3 linked regions of the Diceros bicornis minor genome follow. The protein of the gene in region 1 purifies or fractionates together with the protein of each later gene. This does not show direct contact. Links are inferred from orthologs where the notes say so. Each region holds a gene or a part of one and is shown in the gene's direction. Other genes may lie near its edges. The genes, in order: ANKRD28, PPP6R3 and ARHGEF2.

What was found.
Region 2: the proteins of ANKRD28 (region 1) and PPP6R3 purify together in Homo sapiens (co-immunoprecipitation; 3 studies listed by BioGRID and IntAct, with this or other methods). This does not show direct contact. The link is inferred for Diceros bicornis minor from reciprocal best matches to the Homo sapiens genes ANKRD28 and PPP6R3.
Region 3: the proteins of ANKRD28 (region 1) and ARHGEF2 purify together in Homo sapiens (affinity purification with mass spectrometry; 3 studies listed by BioGRID and IntAct, with this or other methods). This does not show direct contact. The link is inferred for Diceros bicornis minor from reciprocal best matches to the Homo sapiens genes ANKRD28 and ARHGEF2.

The regions. Positions count from the first base shown.
Region 1 is NC_080741.1:22,236,298-22,244,030, reverse strand, and holds the start of ANKRD28 (serine/threonine-protein phosphatase 6 regulatory ankyrin repeat subunit A), read left to right. Parts: upstream 1-4,722; 5' UTR 4,723-4,873; coding exon 4,874-4,990; intron 4,991-6,126; coding exon 6,127-6,210; intron 6,211-7,733. UniProt on the Homo sapiens protein: Regulatory subunit of protein phosphatase 6 (PP6) that may be involved in the recognition of phosphoprotein substrates. Involved in the PP6-mediated dephosphorylation of NFKBIE opposing its degradation in response to TNF-alpha.
Region 2 is NC_080770.1:5,505,341-5,513,383, reverse strand, and holds the start of PPP6R3 (serine/threonine-protein phosphatase 6 regulatory subunit 3), read left to right. Parts: upstream 1-5,008; 5' UTR 5,009-5,095; intron 5,096-8,043.
Region 3 is NC_080743.1:59,647,487-59,655,311, reverse strand, and holds the start of ARHGEF2 (rho guanine nucleotide exchange factor 2), read left to right. Parts: upstream 1-4,796; 5' UTR 4,797-4,920; intron 4,921-7,825. UniProt on the Homo sapiens protein: Activates Rho-GTPases by promoting the exchange of GDP for GTP.

The DNA.
Region 1 (7,733 bases):
GCATGCACCGACGCACCGCTTCTCCGGCCATGCTGAGGACGCGTCCAACGTACAGCAACTAGAAGCATGTGCAGCTATGACATACAACTACCTACTGGGGCTTTGGGGGAAAATAAATAAATAAAATTATTTTTAAAAATGGTGTAAAAAATGTAATCTAATTTGGCCTAAAATTTAAGTGCCTCAAGGAAAACCCACATCCCCTTGCCATTGGTCAACTGAAAGAAAAAAAAATGTTGAACTTAAGTTTACACAATCTTTGTCAATAGTTTTTCATCATATGTACTGTCTCCATTCCTGATTTCTTAAATACTTGTTTACCTGTCTCCTTTTCCTTTAAGATGTGAGTTCCTTGAGGTTAGGGGACTGTCTTATTCAGTAGAAGATATAAAACAGTGCTATATGGTGCTGTTAACTTAAATAATAAAAAATATTGGGCCAACCTCGTGGTGTAGTGGTTAAGTTCAGCGCGCTCCGCTTTGGCAGCCTGGGTTCGAGGGTTAGGATCCCGGGTGTGGACCTACAACATGTCAGCCATGCTGTGGAGGTGACCCACATACAGAATTGAGGAAGATTGGCACAGATGTTAGCTCAGGGCGAATTTTCCTCAGGAAAAAAAAAAAAAATTGAAGTATTTCTCTCTTTGTATCTTTGATTATATAGTATATCGTGGGCCAGTACTTGTTACCCTTTCTGTTTCCCTAGACTATAAAATACAGTGAATGTGGAACAATGGAAAAACCTGTAGTCCTACTTCTCACCTAAGTTTACTGCTCCCTCCCCCTAATAATACTTAGTAAACTCTTGTCTGGTTACTGGAGTGTAAGACAAATTTCTAGCAGTCTCTCGAGACCTGAAAAGGGTAGAGACTTAGCAACTGAATGGGATCTCCAGTCTGAATCACCTCACCAGTAGGGAGGATGTTGTCAAGCTCTGTCTTTACAAGGGATATCATTCAACTATCCTAAATATCCATAATAATAATATTATTTTATTTTAAACTTTATTTAAACTATGAGTAACACTATAAAGTAGTTAATGTCACTTTAATAGATGTTGAAATGATTTACAGAGAGGTTAAGTAACTTGCTGAAGGGCACACAGTTATGTTTGTTAGTGGGAAGCTGGATTTAGAATACCAGCAGTTTGGCTACAAAGGCTACATTCTCTCTCACTGTGCTATTACAGTATTTCTCCTAGGTAAAAAATCTCTGGAGATTATTATTATAAAAGTGTGAAGAAATTTAAACTCAGAGGTTTTAAGTAGCTTGCCTGAGGACCCAGCTAATAAATAATGGAATCAGAATGTGAACTTCAGGTAGGCTGACTCCTGAGCCCTTAGTTTTAGCTGTCATCCTATATTATTGTTTTATATCCTGTCAACTTCTGCATTTAAGTTGTTCACCTGCTGGAGGTACAAAACTCATTCAGTTACACTTTAATGCCTCCTCTGCTTTCTGATTAAAATGTGTGTATTAATCCCCCCCATTGTCCTTTATAATTTTGCCATTCTATTCCAGAGTCTTGTGACATAATAGAGTTTATTTCAATGAAATGATTTACAGGTAGAAGAAAGTAGAAGGAAACAATACATATATAACACAGGTCGCTGCCTTCAAGGAGTTTGCTTTCTGGTTGGGAAAGACCTAAGTATGAAAGTTGACCTAGAACAATAAACAGGATGTACCTGCTTACATCTGAGTAGCTGAACTTATACACTGGATACTTTGGAACAAGTTAAAATTGTCTATGTAAAAAGAGATTTCGTTTTGGGGGGAGGGGGAACCCTGAAGATAGAATATAGGATGTTGTTATTATAGTGGTTTCATTTTCAGATATCAAGATGATATTTTTGATTTAGCCGTGTGGAGATAGTTAACATCATTTTTGTATGTCAAAATATTTGCATGCCTTTAATTGGGCTTAAAACCATTTTATATATTTTAAAATACAACTATGTGAATTGTGAGCATATTTTAATATCTTGGTACAGTTATGTTAGGGTTACAGGTTTTTTTGATATTTAATAGTTTTTGTTCTTAAATTCTGGCATTCTTAAATTATCTCTATCATGCTAGGTTTTTTTTTGTCTTGATAAGTAAACCGGCTTAAACGAGTGAGGTAACACTAGCCCTGAAATACCCATTTAAAAATAACTTGTTTGGGAATATTATCCCAGTAAATAGTATATTCCTTTGTTACCTAAACTTTTCACAACTGTTATAGGTTACCTGTCTTTTAAGATCACTTTTACAGTCTAGTAGTATGGGTTGCCAAGATCTTGAGACTGTGTGTGTGTTTGTGTGTGTGTACGTACTCATTGGAAGCAGAATAGATTAGAAAGAGCGTATGTTTGGAATTAGGTACAATTTTATTAATTTACATGATTTTGGATAAGATAATTTGAGTCTTTTTTCCTCTATAATAGGGGAATGTAGCAAGGTTATTGTATGAAATGAGAATGTATACCACCTAGTACATCATAAATGTTCAGAAATAACTATTATGTGTATTAATAAAAATTCTGGTTGATAGAAGAAAGAAGATGATTGAAGGAGAACCATGGTTTTTTCTTTTGGGAAATATCCCCATCGGTGAGTAAACAGAGAAAGAGGAGAAAAGCCAACTGCTAAAAATTGGTTGTTTCTGGCGCTTCTTTATTGCTTTGGGAAAGTTAATTTTATAGAGGAGGGAGATTCTTTGCTTTCTTTGTATTATCCTATGCCTTTTTGACATATAGATAATTCAGTACCAAGGACTTTAAACAATAGCTTTATGTAGCTATATAACAGATTTTAAGGCTTTATTCCGTTTCTGGATGGGAAGGTAGAAATATTTAATTTCTTTGGTGAAAATTCAAAGATCCATAGAATTTTAGAGTTAGGATTTCTATAAAAATTATGAAATTTTTATTTTTTCCCTTTAAAAATATGACTTGATTAAATTCAACAATTTAGAAATTGTTAGTAAATCTTAAATTTCTTTTGTGTAAACTTGGCATCTTGAAAATAACATACATCTAGTAGATTAAAAATGGTCTTGGTATAAAATAAGAATAAAATCTTAGGTTTGTGGTTTTTGTATTCTCATAAAATATTTCTCCATCTCTAGTTCTCTTTTATGGGTTCACTGCAAGCATTATTACTGCAGCTGTCGTTACAGGGTTAAACATTTGCTGTATTGTAACATACGAAAGCAGTTAAACTGTTTGGAATTGTTTACTTGCTAAAACCAGTGTTAGTCAGCAGAGGCAGTACACCAGATTTCCTTGTGGCTTTTAGTGGAAAATGTTAAAAGCGCACTCATTTTTCAGTTATAGAATTTTTCGGTTTGATCTGGATTAGTCACAGAACTGGCATGAACCTTCTAATTGTGAAGGCTGTCCAAAAGCACTATTTTTTTCTTGAGCTAGAGGAAGTTACATCCTGAGCAGTAGCTCAGATCTCTGGTAAGTGTAACATGTGAGCATTACTAGGCATTTCATCCTGCGGTTCTGCAGTCTTTGCTATTCAGACTGTTGCTCAGTCGGAATGCTTCTGTGGGGCCGATCCTGAGGTTCAATAGATATTTTTTAAGGACCTACTCAATTGGTGGTGTCGGTGGGGTTTTACAAGATCATCTGAGGAACAGGAAAGCATCTGAAATCTACTGAAAAGGATAACTGTAGCGGTTTTCACCGTGGAAGGAAACTATATTGGCACAGAGGCAGATGATTGAATAAAGTAGTTGGCTCAAAGAAGATGCACAGTCTGCTGTTTTTTCCCTGAATGAAGTCTATTTAATGGAAGCTGTATTCATGTGGAGATCAAAGGAAACACTGGAGTGATAAACTACTGGTTTTTTTCCTCTCTCTCTTTTTAAAATGAAAAACCTGAAGCAGTAATTTGAGCTCAAATGCCTTCTAATTCCTTCGTACCCTGCGTGTTCAGCTAGGATTCTCCACTAACACCATTTCTGCCTGGTGCCTGTGCCCTTTTGCTGGAGCAGCCACAGACAACTGCCTGATGGAGAAAGAGTGAACGTTTTGCCTTGCTCATGCTATCGATGGGAATAAAGCTATCTGTGTTTCTTCTATTATATGGGGTATCTGGATTACTCAAGCTGTATTCTAGTACCAAGAGTCCTATTGTCTTTTGTGGTCTGACTCATCGCATGTAAATGTACTGCAGCTTTGCTATTAATGCAGAGTGTTGTTTTTTTCCTTTCCCAAACACAGAAAGAATTGTCAACCTCTGAGCTTCATTTTAAGAATTTGTACTGAGCTCTAGATGTATTTTTTTTCTGGATAGTATCTGCATTAAACCAGTGAAGCTGAAGAAATGAAGACAAATTAGAAGTGGAAACAGAATAGTGAGATTTTTATTTTTTATTTTCGGTTATTGGCAAACCAGCTACTGGTAACTATATGACCTTGCAGGCAAGAGTGGGTATAGCTGTAATCATCTCTGTCACAGCAGTTGTTTCTCATTTCATTCTGCATCGTGCGATATCACCCAAAACAGTGATCTTTTTATGCAAGTAAATTTCTGTGGGACAGAGAGCAATATGACTATTTTGGTAGGGTAAAAATATTTTTAAATGAGCTTGTATTGGACTCAGTTTTAGTTATTGACATGTTGATGTGAAATTTCTTTTAAGTTATTGCAGTAACCCAACAAAAAATAATAGAATTTTGTTGTTTTTAGGAAGTTAAAAGTTATGTAGTCAGAATTTTAAACTTAAGTTTTTCCGATAGTACTTATTAACTTGAAAACAGCTGCGCTGTTCAGAGGATGATTCTAAGCGTTGTGCAGAAGAGGAGGAAAAACTACTTGTGCTCGTCCAACTGTGACTTTTATCACATAGCTTAAAATTTAGTATTTTAAAAGAGCGAATGAGTCGAGTGTGTATTGTTGTTTTGGAGGAGGTAGAAGATGAATCTCCTGCATTCATTTCTAAATTGCCACAGGAAAATAAATCCCTACATTCTCCACCTTCTGGAAATGCATTGGTAAGATATGAGAGTTAATATGTTTACTATATTCTGAACTAGTAAATTTTATTTTTTAAGAATAAACATAAGTTAATTTTCACTGGTTTTATTAAAAACCCAAATTAAAGCAATATAGGTGTGTAAATATGATGCAATATTACTTGTGTATAAAATGCACACATTTCTGATTTTTACTTTTTCAGATGTTTAACATTTTAAACTTACTATCTCTTAACCGCTTAAAAAGATTTTTTTTAAAAAATAATTTGAGAATAGTAGTTATGGCAATCACGTTTCTGTTTTCATTTTGTGGTTTTAAAAACTGATGTAACAAGAATGAGGAGCTGTATGTTTTAGGAAAGGTTGACTACTGCCAGCAACACCACTGCCTTTTCTGTAATGAATTTTATGTATTTACGTGCAAGACTTATATTTGAAAAAGAATCAGAGTTCATTCTTAACCTTATTTTTAATGCTTTTGTCGGTTGGCTTCTTGTTTGACTAGTATAATATGATACCTTATCATAGAGGCTGTGTCGTTGATTAAGAAATTGTTATATTTAGATATGCACGTGTTTGCCTCTTCAGGTTATTCAGGTATACAGTACTTTTTGGTGTTTGAATAGTAGTGATTTTCATCAATTGCCAGATTTTCTTTTTTGGATTTATACGTTTATACATGCAGTGCTAACCTATGCTAGTTATTTTGATGGTCCAAACAGAACTTTTCAAAGAGGCCTTCCTTCATGAACCTCAGCGTGGGCTGAGAACTGCTAATGTTTGACAAGTTGTGTCCCACAAGTAAATGTTGAGATGTCACACTTGTGTTTGGAAGAGATTTTCTTTTTACCATATATATAAACAAAGTCTTCCACGCATAAAAAGTAAAATCTGATTGTGTTTATTATGCTACCTAATTTTGGTCATGCTGAATTGATTTTTTCTTTTTTTAATTAGGCCTTCTTTTTTTTTCCAAGGAAGAATCCTGTACTTGCATACGATTTGACTTCATAAAACTTTTGGTTAATGTCAAAAACCAAATGATTATTGTTGCTATAGGGAAGAAAAGTTTTAGACTTAAAAATTATGTGGAAATATCTTTAGAATCATCCATGTGGTGTGATTAATATTTTTATTACTCTCTTGTATTTTAGCCTTCACTGGTGCAAGCTATATTTAATGGAGATCCTGATGAAGTTCGAGCACTAATATTTAAGAAGGAAGATGTTAACTTTCAGGTAAAACAGTTTACTCATACCAGTCTTTAAACCTGCTTTTAAAAACCTCTTTCCTAGAGTTATGATTTTTCTTATAAAGATATAACACAATTCTGTAACAGTGGTTTTAATGAGGGCGGAAGGGTCTTGAGGCAAAAAAGAAGGGACTGGACATATATTCAAGGGTAATAACTAAAACACAAGAGAACTAGGAGCTAATGAAGGTCCTTTGTTTCCCAACTTTTTACTTTGAAATTTTTCACAGAAAAGTTGAAAAAATACTCTGAATACCCATATACCCTCGACTTAGATCTAGCATTGATAACATTTTGCCACATTTGCTTTCTCTCTCATATTTACACAGATTTTATATATATATATATATGCATATATCTTTTTCTTTTGCTTTTACTGAATTCCATTTGAAAATAAGTTGTACACATCATAACATTTCACTGTTAAATACTTCCGTACATTTCAGATGAGAGTTCTTTTTTGTGAACTCAAAATAAAAGACATTTCTATTAAGTTTATAATGTATCTAAGTTGATTATGAGATTAAATTTCTTTCTATAAGTAATCATGGTAAGCATTATATACAAAGATTCATCTGTTTGAGAGTCTCAGAAAAGAAAGACATACTGTTTGAAAAGTCTCCAAACTTAAAGATTTAGTGGATTAAACATTCAGGACTGACATGAGGTGCAATTTTAGAGTGAGTTTGTGGATAATTTCTTCTCTGTATATGATTCTCCAGTGGCCAGTAGTTTCTTTAATTTACTAAGTTGAGGCTGAAAATATATAATTTACTATAATAAGATAAAATTCATTAATGTATGTATTTTTACTGGAAATGTTTTCAGTACATTTTTCATACATAATTCAGTCCTCTGAATTATGGAGAGTGGGGAGGAAAGGTCATGATTCATGAAGTCACTATAGCAACACCAAAACAGGTGACCTAGAAATGATTGGTAGTTCTAAGAAAGGCATACCCTGCAAGCTCATCTCAAACTCTCGTTTTTTCTCCATTCTTTAGTAAAATACTACTGTGACCACTTAATGTTAAGTAGATGTAAAAAGTATTTATCTTATTTTTAAAAGTTAGATTATCTGAATAGATGTGAATCTTTAGCTAAAATGTTTCATTCTAACATTGGGTAGTGATAGTGATCAGGATGCTATCCTTACATTTGTTTCTTAAACCTTCCTAAGTGAATTGCATATAAGTTTATATGTATTGGAAACATGCGCCTAGTTCAGGATTTCTTTCTTTATTTTAAATGGAGTGCCTGGTCACTTCACCTAGTTGGAGTGTCCTGAAGAGTCTCCTTTTCGTAGGATGGAAATAGTTATAGGGTATAGACTTATGAAAAGGAGGAAAATGGCTTTTTGTTTTAACTCTTTTGGGTTTTTTTTTTTTTTTTAATAGTACTCATAAATCTTGTCTTGGTGAGCAGGTTTGGACTGTAATCCTACCTACCCTGGTTAATTTCTTCATCATTACAAAGTCTCACTATAGCCAACAGAGCTTTTCTGCTATA
Region 2 (8,043 bases), on another chromosome or scaffold:
GCCCCTCCCTCCAGGACAGGTGTGGGAGCTCCGCTCCGCCCTGGGTCCAGAAGCCACCTTGGTCTACAGCTGCCCTGGGCAGTTGAACAAAATCCATATGGCCAGACCTTGGCATGTCCACTGCCAGGTAGGATGCTGGGGAACCGGGAGGGGGTGAGGTGAAAGGTTTTGTCCTGGAGAACCCCGGGTGGTTGGGAAGTTGGGTAGGGCTTGGATACCACGTGGCCCCTGCAGGGTTTCTTCTCGAGAGCCACTCAGCTGTCTCTTCACAGGACTAGGACCCCCTCGTTGGACCATACCCTCAGGTCACGGTCTGGGGTCCCACCAAGGAGCCCTTTGCTGGCTCCCTCTCTCGAGGTCTTCGCCCAGATTCCTATGCCTCTATCTCCTTCTCTGGACCCAAATGCCCCCTTCTCTTTTCTTTCCCCATAAGCTGGATGGCAGCCCTCGTCATTAGCAACCCCAGCAGCTCCTCTTTCTACCAACCCCTGGATTATCAACAGTCCTTTGCTGGGAAGGGAAATACTCACCTCCTCCCCAACCCAGACTGAATCTTGATGCAGTCAAGAAAAGGATGAGACAGGAGTTAAATGTCCCATGTTAAAACGGGTCCACCTTCATCTGCCTCTAGAGATCGCTATCTGGCCCTTCTCTCCAGCCTCAACATGTTTTGACCAGAGCCAGCGATGAGCCAGCACCAGCCCGGGCCCTCCCGAAGCATGTCCTCTGCCTGGGTGGCCCCACTCCAGCCCTCGGGTGAGGACGGAGCCCTGGTGACATAAGAAAAGGAAAGACAACTTTCTCCCCAAGTTGAGCTTATTCATCTTAAAGTCTTTTTCTATCTGAGTGTATGCGTGTGTTAAAATGTTCTTTCTTTGAAAAGGGATTTAAAAAAAAATTTATTATTATTATTTTACGGGGGAATTTTTGCCCTAAGCTAACATCAGTTGCCAATCTTCCTCCTTTTTTCTTCCTTTCCCCCCACAAAGCCCCAGTAAATAGTTGTGTATAGTTTTTGTTTTTGTTTTTTTTGTGAGAAAGATCAGCCCTGAGCTAACATCCATGCCAATCCTCCTCTTTTTGCTGAGGAAGACCGGCTCTGAGCTAACATCTATTGCCAATCCTCCTCTTTTTGCTGAGGAAGACCGGCTCTGAGCTAACATCTATTGCCAATCCTCCTCCTCCCCCCCAACCCCCAGTAGATAGTTGTATGTCATGGATGCACATCCTTCTAGTTGCTGGATGTGGGACGCGGCCTCAGCAGGGCCGGACAAGCGGTGCGCACCCCGGGATCTGAACCCGGGTCGCCAGCAGCGGAGCGCACGCATTTAACCGCTAAGCCACGGGGCCGGCCCCTAGTTGTGCATAGTTTTAAGTTTTTCTGGTTCTCCTCTGTGAGCCGCCACAGCATGGCTACTCTACTGACAGACGGGTGGTGTGGTTCCCTGCCAGAGAACCAAACCCGGGCCACTGAAGCAGAGCGTGCTGAACTTTAACTGCTAGGCCATAAAGGCTGGCTCAAAATGTCGTTTTTTTCATGAAATCCCAGTGATAGTAAGTGGTATTTTTTTTTTAATATTACTTGAAAGGATTAAAATTTGGCAGCTGTGTCTGTTCCCAAAAGTTAAGGAGTAATAGCTGGGTGATGGGTAGTGGGCATACTTTTCTCTCCACTTTTGAGTATGTCTGAAAATATTCATGTAAATTTTTTTTCAAGCCTAAACGGATTAAAAATTTAAACATTAAAAATTAAACCACAAAAGGATTGGGGGGAAACAGGGGAAGGTGGTGATCCGTGAAATCTAGAAGTTTTAGGATGGTGAAGCCAATCCAAAGCTTCAAAGTCACTCTCTTGCTTAAAGCCTAATTAATAGCTCTCCATGGCCCTCATGAGATGGGCTGAGCTCAGATGCCTGCTCCTCCAGGAAGTCCTCCCTGACATCAACACTTCTGGATAGGTTAGGAACTCATGATGATTGAAGACTATGGGGCCCACTTACGTTGGGTGAGGTACTATACTGTTTCCTTTAATTATAGCGCACATGGCCCTATGACCCACCTCAGAGTCTGGGTTGGAGAAGCCTGAAGCAGGTACTGGCAAGTCCTTTGATGATGAAAGAGCAAAGGGATGGGTGGGTGGCTGGGCCCTCCCCTGGCTGCCAGAAGGGCAGGTCCCAGCCCTTGCTGTCCCCTTCTGCCCAGGCCAAGCCTCCCTCTCAGGCACCAACCCTGTCCCGGGGTTCCCTGCAGCCTTTCCCATGCTCCTGTGCCACTGTGCTTCCATAGTTTCCTCTGCCAGGCATGCCTGCTCCCTCCCCACCGAGGGTAGAGACTTGTCCCTCTCTCTAACCCTCTGCAGCACGCACACCTTCTGAGCTGCTGTCAATCTGGACTGTGTTCCTCACCAGCTGTGTGGCTGTGGGTAAGACCTCTAGCCTCACTGAGCAGCAGGATCAATGCGAGTAACATCTGCCCTTGGTTGCTGCCTCCCCGGAGGCCCAGCACACTTCAGGGCATGGACACAGGTTGGTAGCTACAGTATCATTACCAGTCCTTCGCAGATAAGAACTGGAGAGTCAGAGAGGTTAGATCACTCAGCCAATAATGGGCTGCACCTGGTATCTAAATGCTTTCTGGGCCTCAGTTAACTAATCTGTAAAATGGGGATGATAATACTGTTCTGGGGGCTGGCCCCATGGCTTAGCGGTTAAGTGCGCGCGATCCGCTACTGGCGGCCTGGGTTCGGATCCGGGTGCACACCGAGGCACCGCTTCTCCGGCCATGCTGAGGCCGCGTCCCACATACAGCAACTAGAAGAATGTGCAACTATGACATACAACTATCTACTGGGGCTTTGGAGGAAAAAAAGAAGGAGGATTGGCAATAGATGTTAGCTCAGAGCCAGTCTTCCTCAGCAAAAAAAAGAGGAGGATTAGCACGGATGTTAGCTCAGGGCTGATCTTCCTCACAAACAAACAAACAAACAAACAAAATACTGTTCTGAGCTACCAGCAATGAACTCTTTCTAGAGAGTCTGCCTCCAGCCACAGGCTCTGCTGAGGGGGTAAGCTGGGGGGGAGGCATGTTTGCACTGGAGACCCAGCTCCCCAGGCGCTGGGGTTGACCCAACTCAAGCTGGGCTTCCCCGTTTGGCATGGGGGCTCAGAGAATCTGGGTCAGTGATGTGGAGGGAGCTCAGGTCAGCTGGGACCAGTGCAAAGGGCAGAGGTGCGGGTGCAGAAAGATACCAGGCATCAGGAAGGCAGGCTGGTGGCCAACTCTGCTGGTCCTGCCTTCTCCATGCTCACTGTCACTTTTCTTGGGCGGCAGCCCGGGGAAGCCTCCAGTAACACGCCCTGTCCTCCTCGAGCAGGAGTGGCCACCCCTGACCAAGCCATCACCACCAGTCAGCTGCCCTAAAGCCTGGGAGGGACCCACAAGCTCCCTGCATGGAGCCCCCTTGTCACTCCAGGCCCCTGCCCAACTGAGCATCCGGGATTATTGGTTTCTCCTGGGCATGCTGGCATTCTCAAGGCCCCGCACGACCCAGTCACTTCTGCCACCTCCTCTCTCTGCCATGTCCCTCTCCCACTGCAACCCAACCATGCCTGCCTCCCCAGCGCTCCAAAGCCCCTCCTTGAGGTCTCTGGTCTCCCTCTCTAGCACCTGGAGCCAGGAGCTCATGCTCAGTCCTCCCTGTCCCGCGGGTTGAAATGCAACCTGCTCAGGAAGGGCGCCCACTACTGTTTTATTTACCACCTGCTTAGCACTACCTGGTGCGGCCCAGGTGGTGTCTGACCGTCCCCCACAGGCGGTCAGAGCCGGGACCCTCTGCTCCCCGTGCACGCCCGCAGGCTGGGCGCAGACCAAGTGCCCACGAGAAGGCTGCCCACGAATGAGCAGCGCCCCCTCTTCGGCAGCCACCAGCCCAAACCTCCCCCACCGCACGCACACCGGTGGGTGCGCGATTTTGCGTCCTGCTGAACCCCGACTGGGTTTCACGCGGGCTAACCTCGCCTGCCCTTCTCAGTCCTCCGCCCACTTTCGCCCGCGGCTGATTGTCACGTGACCCTGGACGGCGCTCCGCATCCATTGAGGATCAAGGCAGGTTATTAGCAGTAAGTGCGTAAAGGTGAGCAGATGGTGGGCTACTCCTGGGTGTCCCCGCCCGGCCCTCTGCAGGAGGCAGGGAGGTGGCGGGGGCCCCGACGGGCATTGTGGAAGAAGCTCGTGTATCAATCCTTCCGCAGGGCAAAAGGGAGATCCCTGCAGTTCTCCTCTCTCGCGGTGGTGGCCGCCGCACAGCTAACTAAGGGCACACGACCCCTCACTTTGACCCCACTCCTGGCACAGCCACCTTTTCTCGGTAAAGTGACCACGACGGGCGACCGTCTTTATAAAATGCAGCCTTGGAGAATGCGGGCATCGATCCCGCTACCTCTCGCATGCTAAGCGAGCGCTCTACCATTTGAGCTAATTCCCCCTCTCAGGGTGGTTTCCGCCGCCGGAACACATTGTGGCTCACGTCATCACCGGTTTCCTCCAGGCCCTCCGGCTCGCCCGCCCGCCCGCCGGCCTCGCTCCCCCATTGGCTCCCCGGCAGCTCCCAGTTCCCGGGCCACGATTGGTTTGGCTCGATTTCATTTTAAAAAGCACTGGCTATCGGATTGGTGGTCTGAGCGTCCGTCAAGCAGAGGCCCTGCTGTTGCTACGGCGTAGGGGAGACCCAGCCAGGTTGCGCCCGGTTTGATTTGCTTCTTCAGACTCCGGGGTCCTAGAGGTTCCGGATCCGTCAAGTCCATGGGAAAAGAATGCGCCCCTCGCGCTTGACGGACGGGGCCCGCCAGCCAATCGGAGTGGGGGCAACGGGGCCGCTGGGCGATCCAATAGGTCGCAGGGGGCGGGAGAGGGAGGCCAATGAGCGCGAAGCTGGGGGCAGGGGCAGGGCCGCGATTGGCTGCGAGGCGGCCGGGGGAGGGCGGGGGGAACTCAAGGCCTGCTTGATACGTCCGCCATTTTGGGCGCTTCGCTGATGGTGTCGGTGAGCGCGTTTCCCGCCTGAGCGCGACTAGCGGCGGGTCGCGGGCGCCTCCAGGTAAGGTGGGGGTGGGGCGGCGGCGCGGGCCGCGGCGCGGGGGCCGCGGGAGGCGCGGCGCGCGGGCGGCGGCTGCGGCGGGGCTCCTCTGCTCGGCCTCGGCGGCGCAGGGAGGGAGCGCCCCGGCCCCCTCCCCTCCCCCCCGGAATTCGCCGCCCGGCGGCCCGGGAGGCGCGGTGCCCGGGCTCCGGTCCCCGCTTGTCAGCCGGTCGTCCGCGGGCCGCGGGGTCCCTCCGGGCCGGGCGCCGGGGCGGGACGCGGCCGGGCGGCGAACTTTGCGCCCGCGCTGACGTCCGCGGCCTTGCGCGGCGGGCGGCGGGCGGCGGGCGGGGCGCGCCCCTCACCGCCCGGCTCCTCCGCCCGCTCCGCCCGCCGCCCGGGCCCCGGGAACTCCCTTCGGCGCGGCCCGGAGCGGGGCCGGCGGCGGCGGCCGCTCGCCGGAGCCTCGCGAGGCCATCGTTGGAGTCGGTTCTCCGGGAAACAAGTTCTGTGGGTTTCTGCTCCGCCGCCGCAGAGTCATTGGGAGCCGCCGGCCCCGGCTCCGAGGGTTTAAATCGCCTCCCGAGCGCCTCTCCAACTCCGCACTCGAGTGCGTCCCCGGGCACGGACGCTTCCCCGGCGAGTGGGAGCGAGGGGCTGGTCCTGCCGGGGCTGCGGGGACCTGCCTCTTAAAGAAGCCTCTCCGTGCGGGTTTGGGGGGCTCCTCCTGGAGCCTGCCGGCTCTGATCGCAGCTGGCCCCTCGGTCGCGGGTGCCCGGCAGGAGTCCTTGGGTGCATGTCTGCGTCCTGATGTTCCAGCGTCGGAGCTTCCTGTGATTTTCCCGGGACTTCTCCGCGGGTCGCCCGGAGCTTTGTTTATATTTTGCTTTTATGGGAGGGGCGCTCGGGAGCTGTTTCCTTTCATCCTCACGGCACTAGTTCTTGTGGAGTTTACTTCGGTTTTGTGCTCAAGGTCATGCTGCTGGTAGGCAGCAAGTGGGAAAGAGACGCCCGATTTCCAGCCGCTGGAGGGTCTCCTAGGAGGTGGTGGTGGCTGAGCTGTCCTCACTCTGGAGTTAGACTGCCCGGATTCAGATCTTGGCCTCACCGCTTTCTAGCTCTGTGACCTTGGACAAGTTACTGACCCTCTCTGCTTCCTCTGTAATGTGGGAATCATGAGAGTGTCTATCTCCTAAGTTTGCTGGGAAAATGAGTTAATACATGTGCAGCGGCTAGAAACGGTGCCTGCACGGAGAATCAGCTTAGTAATTAGTGGCTGTTATTAGTTTAAGTTTGATTTTTAAATGTTGACATACTATTAGGAAGTCAAATGAGTGTTTAAGCTCTGGCGCTTTGCGACTGTGTTTAGAAAGCTCTGTATATGTAAGAGTCAGTGGGGCTGAGGAAACGAATTGGAAGTTATTTTAATTTTTTCGGAGAAGAGTGGTTGAAGATTCACTGAATCACAAACGTTTCCTGGAGTTGTTAGTGGTGGTGTCTCAGAATGTTTTGTTTAAGAGGTGGTGAAATAAAGAAAGGCCCATCAGGTGCAAGTCAGATTCTGTCCCTCCTGTACTTTTGGATACTACTCCTGAATATGATTGGCCCCCACATCGGTATCTCCAGGGTTTTTCAGTGTACTGCTGGGTTATTATGGGGTCTGAAAGGTTACTGTGTATTGGAATATACTTCAGTGAAGATAATTTGGGAAATAGCTGTTGTCCTGGATGGGTCTTTGGGAGCTGTCTTGCTTTTCAGTGTGTCCCATCAGGGAGTCTAGAATATCCGACAAAGTGCCATCCACTCAGTCACACGTACACTCGCAGTGTTTAATTCCTGCCCTGTGCTCTTCTGCCTGGTATTGGAAACCATGCGCACCCTTCCCTTGGTACTACTTGTTTGGGCCCTGGCCTGCCTTATTGCTCTGGGGAGGTTTTATTTTGATAGACTCAGGCTTAAGTAGAGATGAGCATCTTGCTGGTGTAACTTACTCAAGAACAGGAAGAAGATTGTTTTGGATTAGAAAACTAGGTTTTTTGTAAAGTATAGCAAAACAAAAGAAAGTCTTGCTAGTTTCAGTTAACTACTTGAGAATTTGGGAATCAGACCACATAGTTGGGCAGAAAATGAAGAGTAATAAAATTAAGACTCAACAGGGTGAGGTTTGCTTAGCTTCTTTAAAAGAAATTTTTGCATGGATTTGGTACAAAGGTAATGTGCTTATTACACATAAAACATCTCATCCTTAAAACGTTATTTGTCAGAATCGGTATTTAGTTTGTTTCTGTGATAAACTTGTATCTTTCAGTTTTATGTTTTGGATATTTGAGAGGCAATCTGAGTGTGGATTGGTCTAAAATTTTACGATGTTTTATTACCCTTAAGAAGACCAAATGATAGTGACAGTGAAGCTCTTCTAGCTATCTGGTCAACTACAACTCAGCATTGAGTCTATTTCATAAAAAGCACAGGAGACTGTAGTTTGATCCTCCTCACATGTCAGTGTCTGAGCCCCACTGTGGCCTGTGTAGTGTGAGCTACTTTTATGTGAGACGGACTGAAAAAATAGATTTGGCCTCTTTAGCTTAAGCAGCTTTCTGATTTCTTCCCTTTCTTAAGAGGACCTCAAATGATTGGTTTTTGATTTATTTTAGATCAGTGGTTCTCAACTGGGGGGCGATTTTGCACCCCAGAAAAACATTTGGCAATGTCTGGAGACATTTTTCTTGTGACACCTGTGGGGGTGGGCAGTGTGCTACTGGCTTCTGGAAGGTAGAGACCAGGGATGCTGCTAAGCATCCTGTAATGCACAGGACAGCACCGTTCTTCCCCTCGCCCAACAAAAAAATTATCCAGCCTCAATATCAGTAGCGCCGAGGTCGAGAAACCCTCCTCTATTTAGATAGATGCTAGACTGGCCTGCATGAGAATTGTTTGGGACACTTTTTAAGACCATGGATGGTGGACCC
Region 3 (7,825 bases), on another chromosome or scaffold:
TACAGATGATTCTAAAGCTCAATAACATTAAGCGAGTTCCCAGGATCATGAGGTTATGAAGGTGGCAGAGCTAGCAAATCGGACCGACTTCAAAGCCACTATAACACCCTAAAGAAATTATGGTCTCAGAGTTTTGAATAACAGATGTCTCTCTCTATTAAAATATTATGTGCTCCCATATCAGCGCCCAGTACAGTGTCTAACGAATCACTGATGACTAGTGTGGTAGGTGGAGGTTGCAACTCAGAGGAGGAGGCAGGAGACACTGACAGTCTGTGTTGGTGGGAAAACCATCTGATCTAGAGGCAGGAAGATAAGTAAAACAACTTCTTAGAGCCCCTTCTTGCTTTCCTCCCCTGCCCCCATCTCGAGTGTCCGATCCCAGACCTATTTCAAAATCTCTTATCTCTCTGTTCAGCGGAAGCAGTGATGTGACATGATGTGATCTCATTCGGGAGCTAAATAAAGCCATTGTGTGAGACCCAGCCCTGGCTGCTCCCTTGCACCGTTTCCTGAGCTCAGGGAGGCTAGGGGATGTGGGATGGGGGCTGGGAGAGAACTAATGGAAAGGGAAGCAAGGAAGAGAACACAACCATAGGGGCCCCAGCTTGAATTTCAGAAAACGGAGGAGGGAATGTCTCTGGGTGGGGGTTCAGGAAACCTTACTAAACCTCATCTCTTTAAAGGATAGAATAAAAATTGACATAATAGCATGGAGGGGTGGAGTTTAGAAAACAGGAAAAACTTTCTGAGAAATGGAATGAAGATCTGAGGGAGAAGGAGCCCAGTGGACTCCATTTTCACAGAGGGCAGAGACTGTGAATGAAATGACAGAGATGCTGGAAAAAGGGTAGATCTTTGAGGTCAGATTCCAGTTGGTCTGAGCTGGAGGAAGAAGGGTGAGATCTCAGGACATAAAGATCTCAGGATCAGAAGGTCTATCCACTGGGCCAGGGTAGCAGGGTACCATCTCCAGCAGATGGCGTCTCTAGGAACGGAGGGAAAGGAAAGGGCTTCAATTCACTGCATTTCATTCATCTTGCCAAATCAGCCCTGCAGGCAGAAGTAGGGCAGGGATAGCAGAGAGAAGCTGGCTACAGGGGGTGTAGCTCAAGCAGTCTTTTCTCTTTTGTGAGGTCACTGAATGCCAAGCACCCAAGATCCTTGCAGCGCTGCTTCGGTGCCCCTCAATTTCTGTCCTGTTCCCAGCCCCTCTTCCTCTTTTCTTAGTCAGCACCTCCAGTTCATGCTCTTCCCTCCACTGCCACTTCTCACAATACTTTTTTGTCTGTTTCCCTCCTGCCCCCCAGATCTCAGCTTTGGAGACCACTGGTTGGCAGGGACCTTGCTCCGGCCCTCAGCCTCTGTCCTGCTCCCTCCAGATCTGCCTATCGCATTTACAGACAGCACATCAGATGGCATGAGGCCCAAGTCTGTAGACCAGGAGAGAGATCTCTCCTCGTGGCTGGCTGAGGGGTCCCCTCTACGTTGCTTCCAGATGTAATGAGCATGGACAGGCACAGGGCCTGGGCGGGTTTCCTAGGCCTCTCCTTTTTTATCCTTAGACCCACCTGGCAGGGCAGCAGAATGCTGTCTGCAGAGGCCTGAGCACTTGTCTCCCTCCTTCCCTGCGGTGGACAGGCATGCACTCGACACAGGCTCAAGCACCTTCTCAGCCACCCTGAGTGGGGGGAGGGGCAGTGGACAGATTGCAGTGGGAGAGGGAAAAGGGGAAAAGTTGATTGAAGGAGCAACTTTCCAACAACGTGAATGCTCCTGCGGGGGGAGGGTAATAGCACAGAAAGCCTGGGAGGAGGCAGGATTCTTGCTCACAGCTTCCTGGTCTTCCTGGGAACTCCCAACATCTCAGTAGCTGGGAGTGGTCCCTGGAGAAGGGGAGCCTGGGAGACTCATCCTAACAGAAGGTCCAGAGAGGCAGGGCCTATGAGTGAGCTGTACAGAGGTATGCAGTAATGTTAGTTCCCTTCCTGCCCCTCCACCGTCTTGGTCCTCTGGAATTTGGTACTTCTTTCTGGAATGGGGCTTATCATTTCAACTTTAAGAGCACCCGAGGGTTCTTAACTCTGAGACACACTGAGGCAAGCCCTGATGGCATGTGGGAGGGTTGGGCAATGACAACAGTGCAGTCCTGGGAGAGAGAGAAGGAACTGCGATGTGGCTGGGATTTGGAGCCCTTCTCTGTGCTGCACGAGGAGAGGTGGTAATAGCTCTCTTACTCCCCATATGACCAGAATTTTAGAGGGAAGAACTCACAATACTTTCTCACTCCTGAACCTTTCCTCCCTCCAGCTTTATCCGCCTAGCCTCCTCCCTCTCCAACTTGGCCAAATCCTAACCACTCCACCCCTCCAGGCCCATCTCAAAGCCTATCTACTCCCTTCTGCCTCCCTTTTTTGAGTGTCCAGCTGGTTATTTGGCATACTCTGGCCAGTCCGTCATTTGTGATTTGTGCTTTTGTCTATGTGCACACACGTGCATGTGCACACACACACATACTCACTAGACTGTGAATTCCTTGAGGACAGGAACAATATCTATTTCTCTTTTCTTGGCTTGGTTTTCTGCCATTTAGGTGCTCAGTAAATGGAAAAATAATGAGTGAATGAGGATGTCATTATGTACTGGTAAGAACACTGGACTGGGGGGCCGTCCCAGTGGCATAGTGATTAGGTTCACCCGCTCCGCTTCAGCAGCCCGGGGTACACAAGTTCGGATCCTGGGCGCGGACATATGCACCGCTCATCAAGCCATGCTGCGGTGGCGTCCCATATAAAATAGAGGAGGATGGGCATGAACGTTAGCCCAGGGCCCATCTTCCTCAGCAAAAAAGAAGAGGATTGGCAACAGATGTTAGCTCAGGGCTAATCTGCCTCAAAAAAGAACACTAGACTGGGTGTCAGAAAACCCAAGTTCTGGACTTGGCTCTGCAGTTAATTCTTGGTGTGATCCTGAGCCAGCCTTCTCCAGTTCTGTGCTTTAGGAAAGGGAGGGGTGACTAGATACTCTAGGCCCTGCTGACTGTGACATCTTTCTAGTTCTAAGTTTCCTGAGTTCTAGAACTCTGCTCACCCTTCTCTGTCTTCTTGACTCAGACTGGCCTGCGTGTGCCTCCCATGAACAGAGACGTCCCAGGTGGAGACCTGGTACCCCAAGGCCACACTCGCCGCTGCCTGTCTGCAGTGGAGTCCAGAGAGCAGCTGGAGGAAGAGGAGGAGGAAGAGGGAAAAAAGGAGGGAGATGGCTTCCATGCTGTACCCCTCCGAAGGTCGGGGGCTTTCCGTGCCCAGAGCCACAACTATGACCCCTTCAAAAGACATAGTTGGGGGCCAGGCAGGGAGCTCCAGGATCCAATGAGCAGGTAAATCCCCAGGGGACTTTCTGTCCTCCTTCCCTCAAGTCCTAGACTCAGGAGAAAGTGGTCAGAAACGAATGACAGGAATTGAAGAGACTTGGGTCCCTAGTCTCTTCCCTAGGGAATCAGAACCTGGGCCTATGGGAGGGCTTTGGGGAGGATGGACCCTGCCTTTCAAAATGTGGCTCTCCCTAGTGGTCCTAGCACCTTCTTTCTACCTGGTCTCAAGGGCAGGTGGGGGTCAGAGTGGAGGGGGTAAGGTGTGGAGTTGGGGTGAATATCAGGACATTTGGTCTTATTGCCTCCATCTCCACTTGGGTTTCATAGACGCATACAGAGATGCCAGAGCTGGAAGGGATTCAGGGATCATACGACCCAATCTCATTTTACAGATGAGGAAACTGAGGCCCAGAGAACTTTGGAAGGTTTCTTTCTTGAGAGAAGTGGTCACAGGTTTGGAGCATTGAATCTGCCCCTTTCCCAAATTGCTGCCTACCTGCTGGGTCCAGGCTGAGGCAGACCCAAAATGTTTTGGTCATCATAGTACAGCCCTGCAATGGGAGAATAGCTACTCTTGCTCAGAGGTCTGCATATGCTTGGCAGACCGGAAAAGAGGGACCCATCTCTTCTGCTTCTCCTGGAAAATCCCTGACCACTTCCCCAAAGACAGAGGAAGTCAGAAATAGAAGGCCTGGGGTGAGCGTGAAGAGTTCAGTGTGAGTGGTCATGTGAGGGCCTGCTAGCCATGGAAGGGCACTGTCTCTCTGCTTTGGCAATGGTCCCCTTGGACGAGTTCCCTTAGCTCTGGTGAGTAGACCAACTTTCTCTAGCTCCTGGGCAGGGCTGGCTGGGCCGGGTTAGGGGAGAGGACCCTGCACCTTGTCCCTGAACTGGCTTGGGTGGGAACTCAGGAGAGAACCTTGCCTGCAGGGCTCATGGCACCTTCCTAAGAGCAGCTGGTCCAAGGCAGAGATGCCCTGGGTACCCCTTATGTGATGCCAACTGTATCTCAGAGTCTTGCAGGTGCCATCTTTCACTATCAGGCATCAATTCTTGCCCTTTGGGTAGAGAGGGAAAGGAGCCCTGGGCACGCTATTCAGCTGAGTCGGGGCAAAGGCTGTCATCAGAAACCAGGCAAGGAGTGAGAATCCAGCTTGCCCTTCATTTGCCTCTCCCGGAGCACTGGCTTTCTTCTGGAGGGCAGTACTGCCTGTTGACCAGCAGGGGTCACTCTTGCCTGTAGCTAGCTCTGCACCTCTGCTAGAGCACAGCCCCAAAGAGAGGCTAGTTTGGGTCTGAACTGAGCCTATGCCAACAGGAAGGGCTGGGCTGGGGGCAAGCAACAGGGCTCGGCTGAGGCGGTGTTCCTCCCTGGTGCCCGTCAGTGGCCACTGGATACCGAGGGCGGTGGTGGCAATGTGTGTTTCAGGAGCAAACTGCAGGCATCGGGATGCGCGGGCCCCCGGGAGGCCCCCTTACTGCAGAGCCAAGAGGAACTGGACACCTTTCTGGAACTGCAGCACCGAGGTGGCCAGTCCTCCCGCGTGGTATGGACAGACTAATCCCTATGGAGGCCACTGCCTTCCTCCCCCTCTCCTGCCTCCTTGCCTGTCCAGCCACCACTCTGTGCCTCTTCTGTTCTGCCAGCTGCTGGATTTCTCTGTGCCCAGGCATCACTCTGACTCTATCCGACTGAATCTGAATCTGTTGTCTGTACTCCTCTGTCTGCTTCCCTGGGTCTGTCTGCTCTGTTCCCCACTCTTGGTATCTTGCCTCTGTCTCTTTCGCTAAGACTCTCTGTTCCTTCCTTTCTGTGTCTGTGTCTCTGTGTTGATGTGGGTATCTCTGTTCCTCTTTCGTTAAAAGGCCCCTATTCCCCTAGTTGTTAAAACCACTTCTTTCTGTAGACCCCCACATTTCTCAGATTTGGAGCTGAACTTATTATTTGTGGGATGAAACTAGGCATCTGGTACCTTGAAAGACAATAGTTCTCTAACAAGATAATCATGAGATTATCAAATGAGACAGGATAGAGAGATTGCCCAGCCTTCTGGCTTAGGGAACATAACTGGGGGGAGCTCTCAAACCAGGACCTAAGGACCTGAGGATATGAGGGCTTTGCGAGACACCACTGGGTCTACTAGCTAAGACTTCCTGAGTACACAGAAATGTCTCAAGCCTGGTGACTAAATGTTGCCTCCCTTCCTGCTCATCCTCTAGCTGGCCAGGGTTACCCACCCCAGCCTCATTGTTCCAGTGCCTGTGGTTTGGGAGACAGGCTGAGCGCAAGAGGCTGTTACAGCCTGTCAGGGGAAGACCCATCTGATCCCCTCACTCACTTTTCTCCATCAGCATCTCTGCATGTCTTCCCTCACCCCCATGTCAATATGGTATCATAGAAAGAACAGGATTTGGGAGTCAAACTGACTCTGAGATCCTTCATTTACCAGCTGAACAATTCATGTCGTCTCTCTGAAAGCCAGGATAATAACAACTGTCTTTTAAAGTTGTGATTATTCAGTGAAAATAGGTGTTCAAGTGCCCAGTACAGAGGCTGGCACACAGGATGAGTGCGAGAAATAAGTTTCTTTTTCCTCTTTTCCCCTCTGTTCCTTCATACTCCTTTCCCTCTCTTCCACCTGTCTCTTCTCCCCACTTTCCACTTTCCCCTTCTTGGTATTATATGTTCTCTTCTTTCCCCCCTTTCCCTAGTGTTTTTTTCTCTTTTTATGCCTTCCTGCTCTGATTCCTCCCCTCTCTCCACCTAATCTTTAAGCACTCCCCTTACATTTCTCCTTGTCTATATGTTGGAGGTTTTTTGTTTCTTCCTGCAGTAATATGTGCGTATCAGTACTCTACCACAGTCCACGGAGCAAAAGTCTGAGACTCATTAAACTCGACTGGGGCTTGCAGACTGACGGTCTATGAGCCAAGTCTAGCTCCAAAATTTATTTTGTTTGGCCAGCATGGTGCTTACACTTTCTAAAATTCAGATGTCCTTAAAGGAGGCCTGTGCGCTCCAGTTTGCCAGAGTTGCTAATACCCTCTGTTGTATTTTTTCCCTTTGTCTTTTAAATATAATATTTAAAAATGAATGTCTGGTAAATTGACCACCCATCTCAAGAACTAGAACATCACCAATACATTTATCTTTGTTTACGTCTTCCTCTCTTCTCTTATTCTCTTGCTTCCCCACCAGAGATAATCACTATCTTGAACTTTCTTTTACCACTCATTTACATTTTTTATAGTTTTAACACAGATATATGCATTACCTAATAATATATCATTTCTTTTTTTTTGTTTCTGAGTTTAAAAACAATGATGTTATATTGTACAAAATTTTCTATAACTTACATTGTCATTCAACATTCTGTTTCTAATTTTTATCCACGTGTTGCAAATAATTATAGTTCATTCATTTTCATTCCATTCTTCTGTTCATGGACATTTGAGCAATTTCCATTCTTTGCTATTATGAAGAATTGTCGATATGAACATCCTTTTTATCCACCTTCTGGTGCACATTTGCAAGAATTTCTCCAGGGTGTATACCTTGGAGTGGAATTGTTCGGTCGTAGAGTGCACAGATGTTCATTTTTACAATATAATGGCAAATTGTTTCCACTCCCATCAGCAGTACATGAGAGTTCCCATTGATCCATATCCTTTTCAACATTTGGAGTCATCAGATTCCTTAATTTTGCTGGTCCAGTAGTTATAAATCTCATTATGGTCTTAATTTGAATTATCCTATTACAAATGTGGTTGAGCATCTTTTCATATGTATTTTGTTCATTTGTGTTTCCTCTTCTGTGAAATTCCTCTTCATGTCTTTTGCCCATTTTTGTATTGGGTTCTTTGAGGGTTTTTTCTTTATTGTTTTGAATGTGTTCTTTATATGTTCTGAATACTAATTATTTGTTGTTATACGTGTTGAAGTGATCTTTTCTCAAAGATGGAGAAATATGGTTTGTCTTTTCCCTCTCCCATAGTGTCTTTAAATAAAGAGAATTTTTTAATTTTTTAAAAATTAACATATTTATTGGAGTATAACATACATATAAAACATGCATTAAAAAACTTTGAGGGGCCAGCCCGGTGGCACAAGCCGTTAAGTGCGCGTGCTCCGCTGCAGTGGCCCCGGGTTAGGCAGTTCGGATCCCAGGCGCGCACCGATGCATCGCTCAGGAAGCCATGCTGTGGCGGCGTCCCATATAAAGTGGAGGAAGATGGACACGGATGTTAGCCCAGGGCCAGTCTTCCTGAGCAAAAAAAAAAGGAGGACTGGCAGATGTTAGCATAGAGCTGATCTGCTCACAAAAAAAAAAAAAAAAAAACTTTGAGATTTTTATTGGAGTCGCATTGAATCTAAAGATTAGTTTAGAGAAAGTTGACATCTTTATCATATTGCTTATTCCTATCCATGAAAATAGTATACCTCTCCATTTA